2 linked regions of the Sus scrofa genome follow. The protein of the gene in region 1 binds, or shares a complex with, the protein of each later gene. Links are inferred from orthologs where the notes say so. Each region holds a gene or a part of one and is shown in the gene's direction. Other genes may lie near its edges. The genes, in order: GTF2F1 and POLR2C.

Region 1 (4,311 bases):
CAGCTCACAGCAACGCCAGATCCTTAACCCACTGAGCAAGGCCAGGGATCAAACCCACAACCTCATGGTTCCTAGTCGGATTTGTTTCTGGTGCACCACGATGGAACTCCCCGTCTCTATATTTCTAAGTAGTTGGTGTGGTTTCTGACGTATGGTATTGGGTAAGGAATAAATGAAAGTCCATAACTATCAGACCCACCCATGGAGTGCTGTAGTTTATGGTGCAGTTTTGGTGTCTTTGCTTAGCCAACTCCTAGTTTAAAACGTCCCTCTTGGAGTTCCCGTCGTGGCTCAGTGGTTAACGAATCCAACTAGGAACCATGAGGTTTCGGGTTCGATCCCTGGCCTTGCTCAGTGGGTTAAGGATCCGGTGTTTCCATGAGCTGTGGTGTAGGTCACAGATGCGGCTCGGATCCCGCGTTGCTGTGGCTGTGGCGTAGGCCGGCGGCTACAGCTCCGATTGGACCCCTAGCCTAGGAACCTCCATATGCCGCGGGTGCGGCCCTGGAAAAAGACAAAAAGAAAAAAAAAGTCCCTCCTCCCTGAGCCACCTGCTCTTTCCCCGTAGCAGCCCTGTTCTTCCTGGCTTGTAGGTATCATTTTCCGAGACTGTATAATCCACCACAACCTCCAAGAGGACAGGAGATGGTTTGTCATATTCACCATGAACTGCCCAGAACCCAGCCAGCAGGTGCTGAAAGTGGATGGAAGAATGGCTGGTCCCGAGCATGCGAGCATGCGCAGTTGTGTTACTACATGGTGGGGGAGGGGTGTGTGCACACCTGGAATTGGACAGGGAGGGTACTCGTACCTCTCGTACCTCTCTCCTGCCCTCCATAGCCTCCTTCCCTTCCATCCAGTTAGCCAGCCACCTCCGCGATGTTACCCTTCTGGGGCCTCAGGGCCCTGGCCATCTGTGCAGCTTGAACTTGCACAGACCCACTCCGCCAGCGGCCGGTGGGGTGATCCCCACCCAGGCCTTGACCCCTCCTGGCTCGGTTCCAACGTCACAAGGGCTCCTGGCCCGATCACTTGACGAGATTATGGTTTCCCTCCTGGGGCTTAGGGAAAAAATGAACACCAAAGAGACTCAGGTGGAGCCGCAGTGTTTCCGTGCGAAGGAGGTCTCAGGCACCATGGTAACGCGGCCTCCTCGGACTCACTTCCGGAGTGGAGTAGCGCATGCGCAAGGCTTCTGGGCGGCCAGGAAAAAGGCTTGTTTCTCCACCCCTTCCCAAGATGCCCCGCGGTCCTTAATTGGGACGTCACGAGCGGGGTGTTACTATACAGCGTGATTGAGTTATCCGCACTATATATTGCAGTCAGCTGGTGCAGGAGCAGTAGTAGGTGTTGCTTTTAAGTCAGATTCGGAGCCTGTGACGCGGCCCACGGGAGAGTTTCGCTTCCGGTTTAAGTGGCTGCGCAGGCGCAGACGTGGCACGAGAGGCCTCAGAGGCTGACCGCTGTTCCAGCGCCACCCCCGGATAGTTTTTCCTAGGATTGGCGGCTCGGGGTTCTCGATCAGGGACCAGAGAGCCGAAACCTCGAGGGCGGCTTCCGCGGGACCTAGAGACCCTCATCCCGGGGGAGTCGAAAAGGACGAGGATCCGACCAGATTTCTACCATTGCGCATCGCCCATGGCGGCCCTCGTAAGTGTAAGGCGAGGGGTTTCCGGGGTCCTGGCTGCAGCCTTTATACTCCCTCACTCACTGCACTGCTTTCTCTCCCCTCAGGGCCCCTGCAGCCAGAATGTCACTGAATATGTTGTCCGAGTTCCCAAGTAAGTCCCAGACCCCAGTTCCCCGTCTCCTCCCAAAAGGGACTAAGCCTTCAGGCACCTCCTGATTCTCCTTCCAGACCGGTAGCAATCTAAGGGCAGGGCTGAGGTTGAGCCGAGGTGTCTGGGGCATCACTGTTTTTTGAAGAGAGTGAATGAATGAACGAATGGGTGCATTATTAATACACAGTATGGGGAGTTCCGTGTGGCTTAGAGGTAAGAAACCCAGCTAATATCCATGAGGATGCGGGTTCAATCCCTGGCCTCACTCAGTGGTTTAAGGATCCAGTGTTGCTGTGGCTGTGGTGTAGGCTGGCAGCTGCAGCTCCGTTTAGACCCTAGGAACTTCTGTATGTGGCCGGTTTGGCCCTTTTAAAAAGCAAAAAACAAAACAAAAACAGTGCCGGTATGATGCAGCCCCCCTACCTAGCATTCCCTCTGCCACTGCCCACTGTGACTGCTGGGTGGATTCTTGTTGATCCTGGAAATCCTAGTTCCACTATATTCCCTATCTGCCACCTCACCCCCCTTGCCTAGGGCTGAGTTCCCAGTTAGCGCCAGATCTTGGGTTCCTAGAAATCTTTGTCCGTTTTTCTGAATGGAGTTGAGAATATGGATCCCACTTTGCCAACAGACTGGGAACCTCTGAGGTCTTTTATGGGTCCCCAGCATTGCCTGACACAAAGGGCTGAGCCAGGGAGGGTTTACTGAATGAATGACTGAGCACTGCCTCTTCATGTCCATTCCAGAAATACCACCAAAAAATATAATATCATGGCCTTCAATGCAGCTGATAAAGTCAATCTTGCTACTTGGAATCAGGTATGTTGAGGTTCGGAGGGGGTGAGAGAACCCAATCATGGACTTTGTGGTTGTTATAGTTGTTTAGTTGTGATAGTAACCAAGGCTTAGCTTCCTCAGCTCTTCACCATGGAGATAAGTGATGACTAAGGCCGAGGCCAAGTTGCTGAGCATGCCTGAGGGGTAAATGCAGGAGGTTTTCTCCTGAAAGGAGCTGTGCCTACCAGTGGGCATCTTGGGCCTGGATTTATCTGGGCAAGGGAGGGGGCTGCCTCCTACAGATGCTCTAAGAGCCCCCATTGTCAGAGGCTCTAGCAAGGGCTTTGGGAGCTGTCTTAGCTCATTCAGGAGGCTATAGCAGAATACCAGAGACTGTGGTTTCTCAACAGTAGAAATTTATTTCTCACAGTTCTGGAGGCTAGAAGTCTAAGATAAGGGACCAATAGGTTTGGTGTCTGGTGGGGCTCTGCTTCCTGGTTCACACCTGGCTCATTTCACTGTGTCCTTGCTTGGTAGAAGGGGGAAGGAGCTCTCTGGGATCCTTTTTTTTTTTTTTTTTTTTTCCGTGGCATGCAGAATTTGTCAGGCCAAAGATCAAACCCGAGCACCAGCAGTGACCTGTGCCACTGCAGTGACAACGCTAGATCCTTAACCTGCTGCACCACAAGGGAACTCCTCTGGGGTCCTTTTTTTTTTTTTTTTTTTTTTGGTCTTTTTAGGGCCGCAACCACGGCATATGGAGGTTCCCAGGCTAAGGGTCAAATCAGAACTGTAGCCACCAGCCTACACCAGAACCACAGCCACAGCAATGCCAGAACCGAGCCATGTCTGCAACCTACACCACAGCTCATGGCAACGCCGGATCCTTAACCCATTGAGTGAAGCCAGGGATCAAACCCGCAACATCATGGTTCCTAGTCAGATTTGTTTCCACTGCACCATGACAGGAACTCCTGGGATCCTTTTTAAGGGCGCTCATCCCATTCATAAGGCTCCAACCTCATAACCTAATCACTGGCAGGACCCGTCCTAAATATCATCACACTGGAAATTAGGTTTTAACATATGCATCTTGGGGGGACGCAGACATCCATCCATAACAGCAGCCATTAAAGGTTAAACAGAGAAATTGTAAAGTGAACTGGCCACTGAAGGGTCAAAGGCAGGTGAAAGGAGAACAGGGGAGAACAGGGGGAGGTGAGCCTTGATGGGGCTTGGAGCAAACAGCTTATGAGAAGTGGCTGGATTCTGACTTTTCTTTTTAAAAATTCTTTTTCTTACTTTCTTTTTTGCTGCCTCATGGCACATGGAGTTCCCTGGTCAGGGATCAAATCCCAGCCGCAGTGTGCAGCTGTGGCAACGCTGGATCCTTAACTCACTGTTCTGGTGAACCTGTGTACTGGTGCTGCAGAAACAGCATGGATCCCACAGCTCCATAGCAGAAACTCCTCTTTCCTTTTTTTTTTTTTTTTTTTTTTTTTAAACTTTACATTACGAAATGACTTCAAACTTTCAAAAAGCTGCAAAAAAGAGACATAGTACAGGGCTTAACCTAGATCCCTTTACCCACAGTCACTGAGCACCTTTTGGCCAAGCCAGAAATCAGCTCTGAATGGCCACTTCTCAACTTGGAAGGGAGGAAGGGGTGTCGTTGGCAGGGGCAGAGGGGGGCGAGGGCAGGCTCCCTCATGAGAGGTGTTGCTCCCTGATCCCTCAGGCCCGGCTGGAACGT
Region 2 (2,839 bases), on another chromosome or scaffold:
AAGCACTTGTCACATTTTTCACACCATTTTGTTGCTTCACATCTCCAGATTTTTGTTTTTAAGAAGTAGAGCATCACATGTACTGGTGGGGACATTTGTACAACCAATTGAAGAGCAATTTGTCAACATCTTATATAAAGATATGAATCCCCTTATGACCTACAAATTCCATTGAATTTCATTTTTTGTAGTATTACATTTACTGAACAAAGATGGTATGGGGTTTTTTTGTTTGTTTCTGAAAAGCTATAGAAAGGTTGAAGATAGACTACTTATTCTCTTTTCACCTATAATTTCCAGTTGTCAATATTTTGCTACTTGCTTTATTCTTCATATGTTATTTTTTCTCTTCTTCTGAGAGAATGTTGCAGATATCGTGACACTTTTCCCCTAATTACATCAACATTCATGTCCTAAAAATAAGGTATTTTCCTGTGTAGGCACACTGTCATCATGCCTAAGAAATTTAGCGTTGGAAGTTCCCTTGCGACAGCCTGACCAGTATCCATGAGGACACAGTTCCATCCCTGGCCTCGCTCAGTGGGTTAAGGATCTGGTGTTGCTGTGAGCTGTGGTGTAGGTCACTGACATGGATTCTGAGCTGCTGTGGCTGTGGTGTAAACCAGCAGCTGTAGCTCCACTTCAACCCCTAGCCTGGAAACTTCCGCCACGGGTGCGGCCCTAAAAAGCCAAAAAAAAGAGAAATCTAGCATTGATTTGTACTATCAATATACAGTCCAAATTCAGATTTTCCAAGTTATCCTCAAAATGTCCTAACTGGTTTTTGTCTGTGGGTCTGTGATCCAATCAAGATTGCATTTAGTTATTATACCTTTTTATTCTCTTGATCTCTCAGACTCCTTTTTTTATTATACTTTTTTTTTTTTTGAGATTGAATACTTTTAATTTCATATTCCTAAGAATGATGCAGTCTTGAGGGCCTAGGCTGTCTTCCTGCCTCAGCAGTGTGTGATTGCAAATTGACCAGGTGTGGGCCCTAGTTCTTCCTCATTGTCTTGAAAACAACAAAAAGTAGGTTGGATTTTCTTCACTGGTAGGAAGTGGGAAGGTTTGCTTGATTACATTCTAGTAACTCTTTTTGCCTGAGGTTAAATGGTAGCAGCTCGTCTCTAACACGGGAATGTTTAAGAATCAGTGTAAAGAATGGCACACTTGAAAGTTAATGAAGCTGAGTGATGGTTACATAGTGACAGTCTCTTAAGTCTTCTCTGCTTCTGTGAATGTATGAAAATTTCCATAAATTCATACATTACCTGTGACTTTTTTTTTAGAGAAGGTCTGTAGTCTGGAACTTAAAAGATAGATTTTTTCTTGTTCCCTGGATTATTTCCTTTTAAATGGTGATGGCTTTCCTAAGCCAGTCACTTAGCTTATGGGACACAGAGCTGTGCAGGATGAAAGCTGCCTCCTCTCTCAGTGCCTTGGTTCTAGAAGAAGAGTGCTCTGAGGGTAGGGTGAGATGTTAGTGCATCTCCTGGTGGTGGCCTGGTGTTGCGCGGGGGGTAGACACAGCTGTCTCTGAGCTGGGACGAGCCTGCCCTTGAGCAGCCCGAGAATGGCGTGTGGGATGGACACAGCCCACGGGAGCCTGGAGGCTGTGCTCTGCCCTCTCCCAGGGAAGGACCTTAAGGGACGGGGTGTTAGAAGCAGGGAGCCAGGCCGGGATTCGCCATCTCTCTAGACTCACTCCTGCCTCTCTTCCTGCCTCAGGACTGCACTTGTGAGGAGTTCTGCCCCGAGTGCTCGGTGGAGTTCACCCTCGATGTGCGGTGCAACGAAGACCAGACGCGTCACGTCACATCCCGAGACCTCATCTCCAACAGCCCCCGGGTCATTCCGGTCAGCGACATCCTCCCTGCCCAGGGCCTTTGCTCTTCTCTTGGCTCCGAGTGGACCAGACTCGGGTGGCTCCTTATAAAACACTGGCTTTCCCTGTGTGCCCTCTGCCTTAACCTCAGCCTGGTGCCTGGAAGTGCTGATTCTGGAGTCTTGCCAGGGTGGGCAGAGCCATTGTTGGTGCTCTGGGCCCCCTGTCTCCCAAGGACCCTTTGAAGGCTGTGGTACTGTTTTGTTTTTTGTCTTTTCTCTTTTTAGGGCTGCACCCGAGGCATGTTGAGGTTTCCAGTCCAGGGGTCGAATCGGAGCTGTAGCCGCTGGCCTACACCATAGCCACAGCAACGCGGGATCCGAGCTGCATCTGTGACCTGCACCGCAGCTCATGGCAGTGCCAAATCCCCAACCAGCAGAGGTGCATGGGGACATTGAGCAGCAGCTAATAATGCCTGTTTGGGTTCCCTGCAGGTGACATCCCGGAACCGAGATAATGACCCCAGTGACTACGTGGAGCAGGACGGTAAGGGGCCCAAGAGAGGCAGAGACCAGACCCAGCCTCTCGTGCTGCCTGGTCCTGCAGTGGCGGCGCGGGTCAAACTGCGGAGAACCAGGCCTCTGCTGGCCCTCGCCCACCTCTCCCCTCTCCCCGCAGACATCCTCATCGTCAAGCTGAGGAAGGGCCAGGAGCTGAGACTTCGCGCCTACGCCAAAAAGGGCTTTGGCAAGGAACACGCCAAGTGGAACCCCACTGCAGGGGTGGCTTTTGAATATGATCCCGACAATGCCCTGAGGCACACGGTGTACCCCAAGCCGGAGGAATGGTATGTTCCTGGTGGGAGTGAGGAGAGGCAGGCAGGTCAGGGTTGGGCGGGTGTGGAAGTGGCTCCTGGCGACTGAGGTGGGGCACCTCACCATGAGACCTGGGCACCCCGAAAGCGGCTGCGGCAGCAACCCTGTGCTGATCTATGTCTGACCTCAGGCCAAA

Evidence for each region.
Region 2: GTF2F1 (region 1) and POLR2C share a complex: the UniProt entries of both Homo sapiens proteins name them as parts of the TBP-based Pol II pre-initiation complex. The link is inferred for Sus scrofa from reciprocal best matches to the Homo sapiens genes GTF2F1 and POLR2C.

The regions. Positions count from the first base shown.
Region 1 is NC_010444.4:72,686,370-72,690,680, forward strand, and holds the start of GTF2F1 (general transcription factor IIF subunit 1), read left to right. Parts: upstream 1-1,243; 5' UTR 1,244-1,638; coding exon 1,639-1,650; intron 1,651-1,734; coding exon 1,735-1,781; intron 1,782-2,527; coding exon 2,528-2,600; intron 2,601-4,296; coding exon 4,297-4,311. UniProt on the Homo sapiens protein: TFIIF is a general transcription initiation factor that binds to RNA polymerase II and helps to recruit it to the initiation complex in collaboration with TFIIB. It promotes transcription elongation.
Region 2 is NC_010448.4:19,396,505-19,399,343, forward strand, and holds part of POLR2C (DNA-directed RNA polymerase II subunit RPB3), read left to right. Parts: intron 1-1,731; coding exon 1,732-1,860; intron 1,861-2,322; coding exon 2,323-2,374; intron 2,375-2,506; coding exon 2,507-2,675; intron 2,676-2,833; coding exon 2,834-2,839. UniProt on the Homo sapiens protein: Core component of RNA polymerase II (Pol II), a DNA-dependent RNA polymerase which synthesizes mRNA precursors and many functional non-coding RNAs using the four ribonucleoside triphosphates as substrates.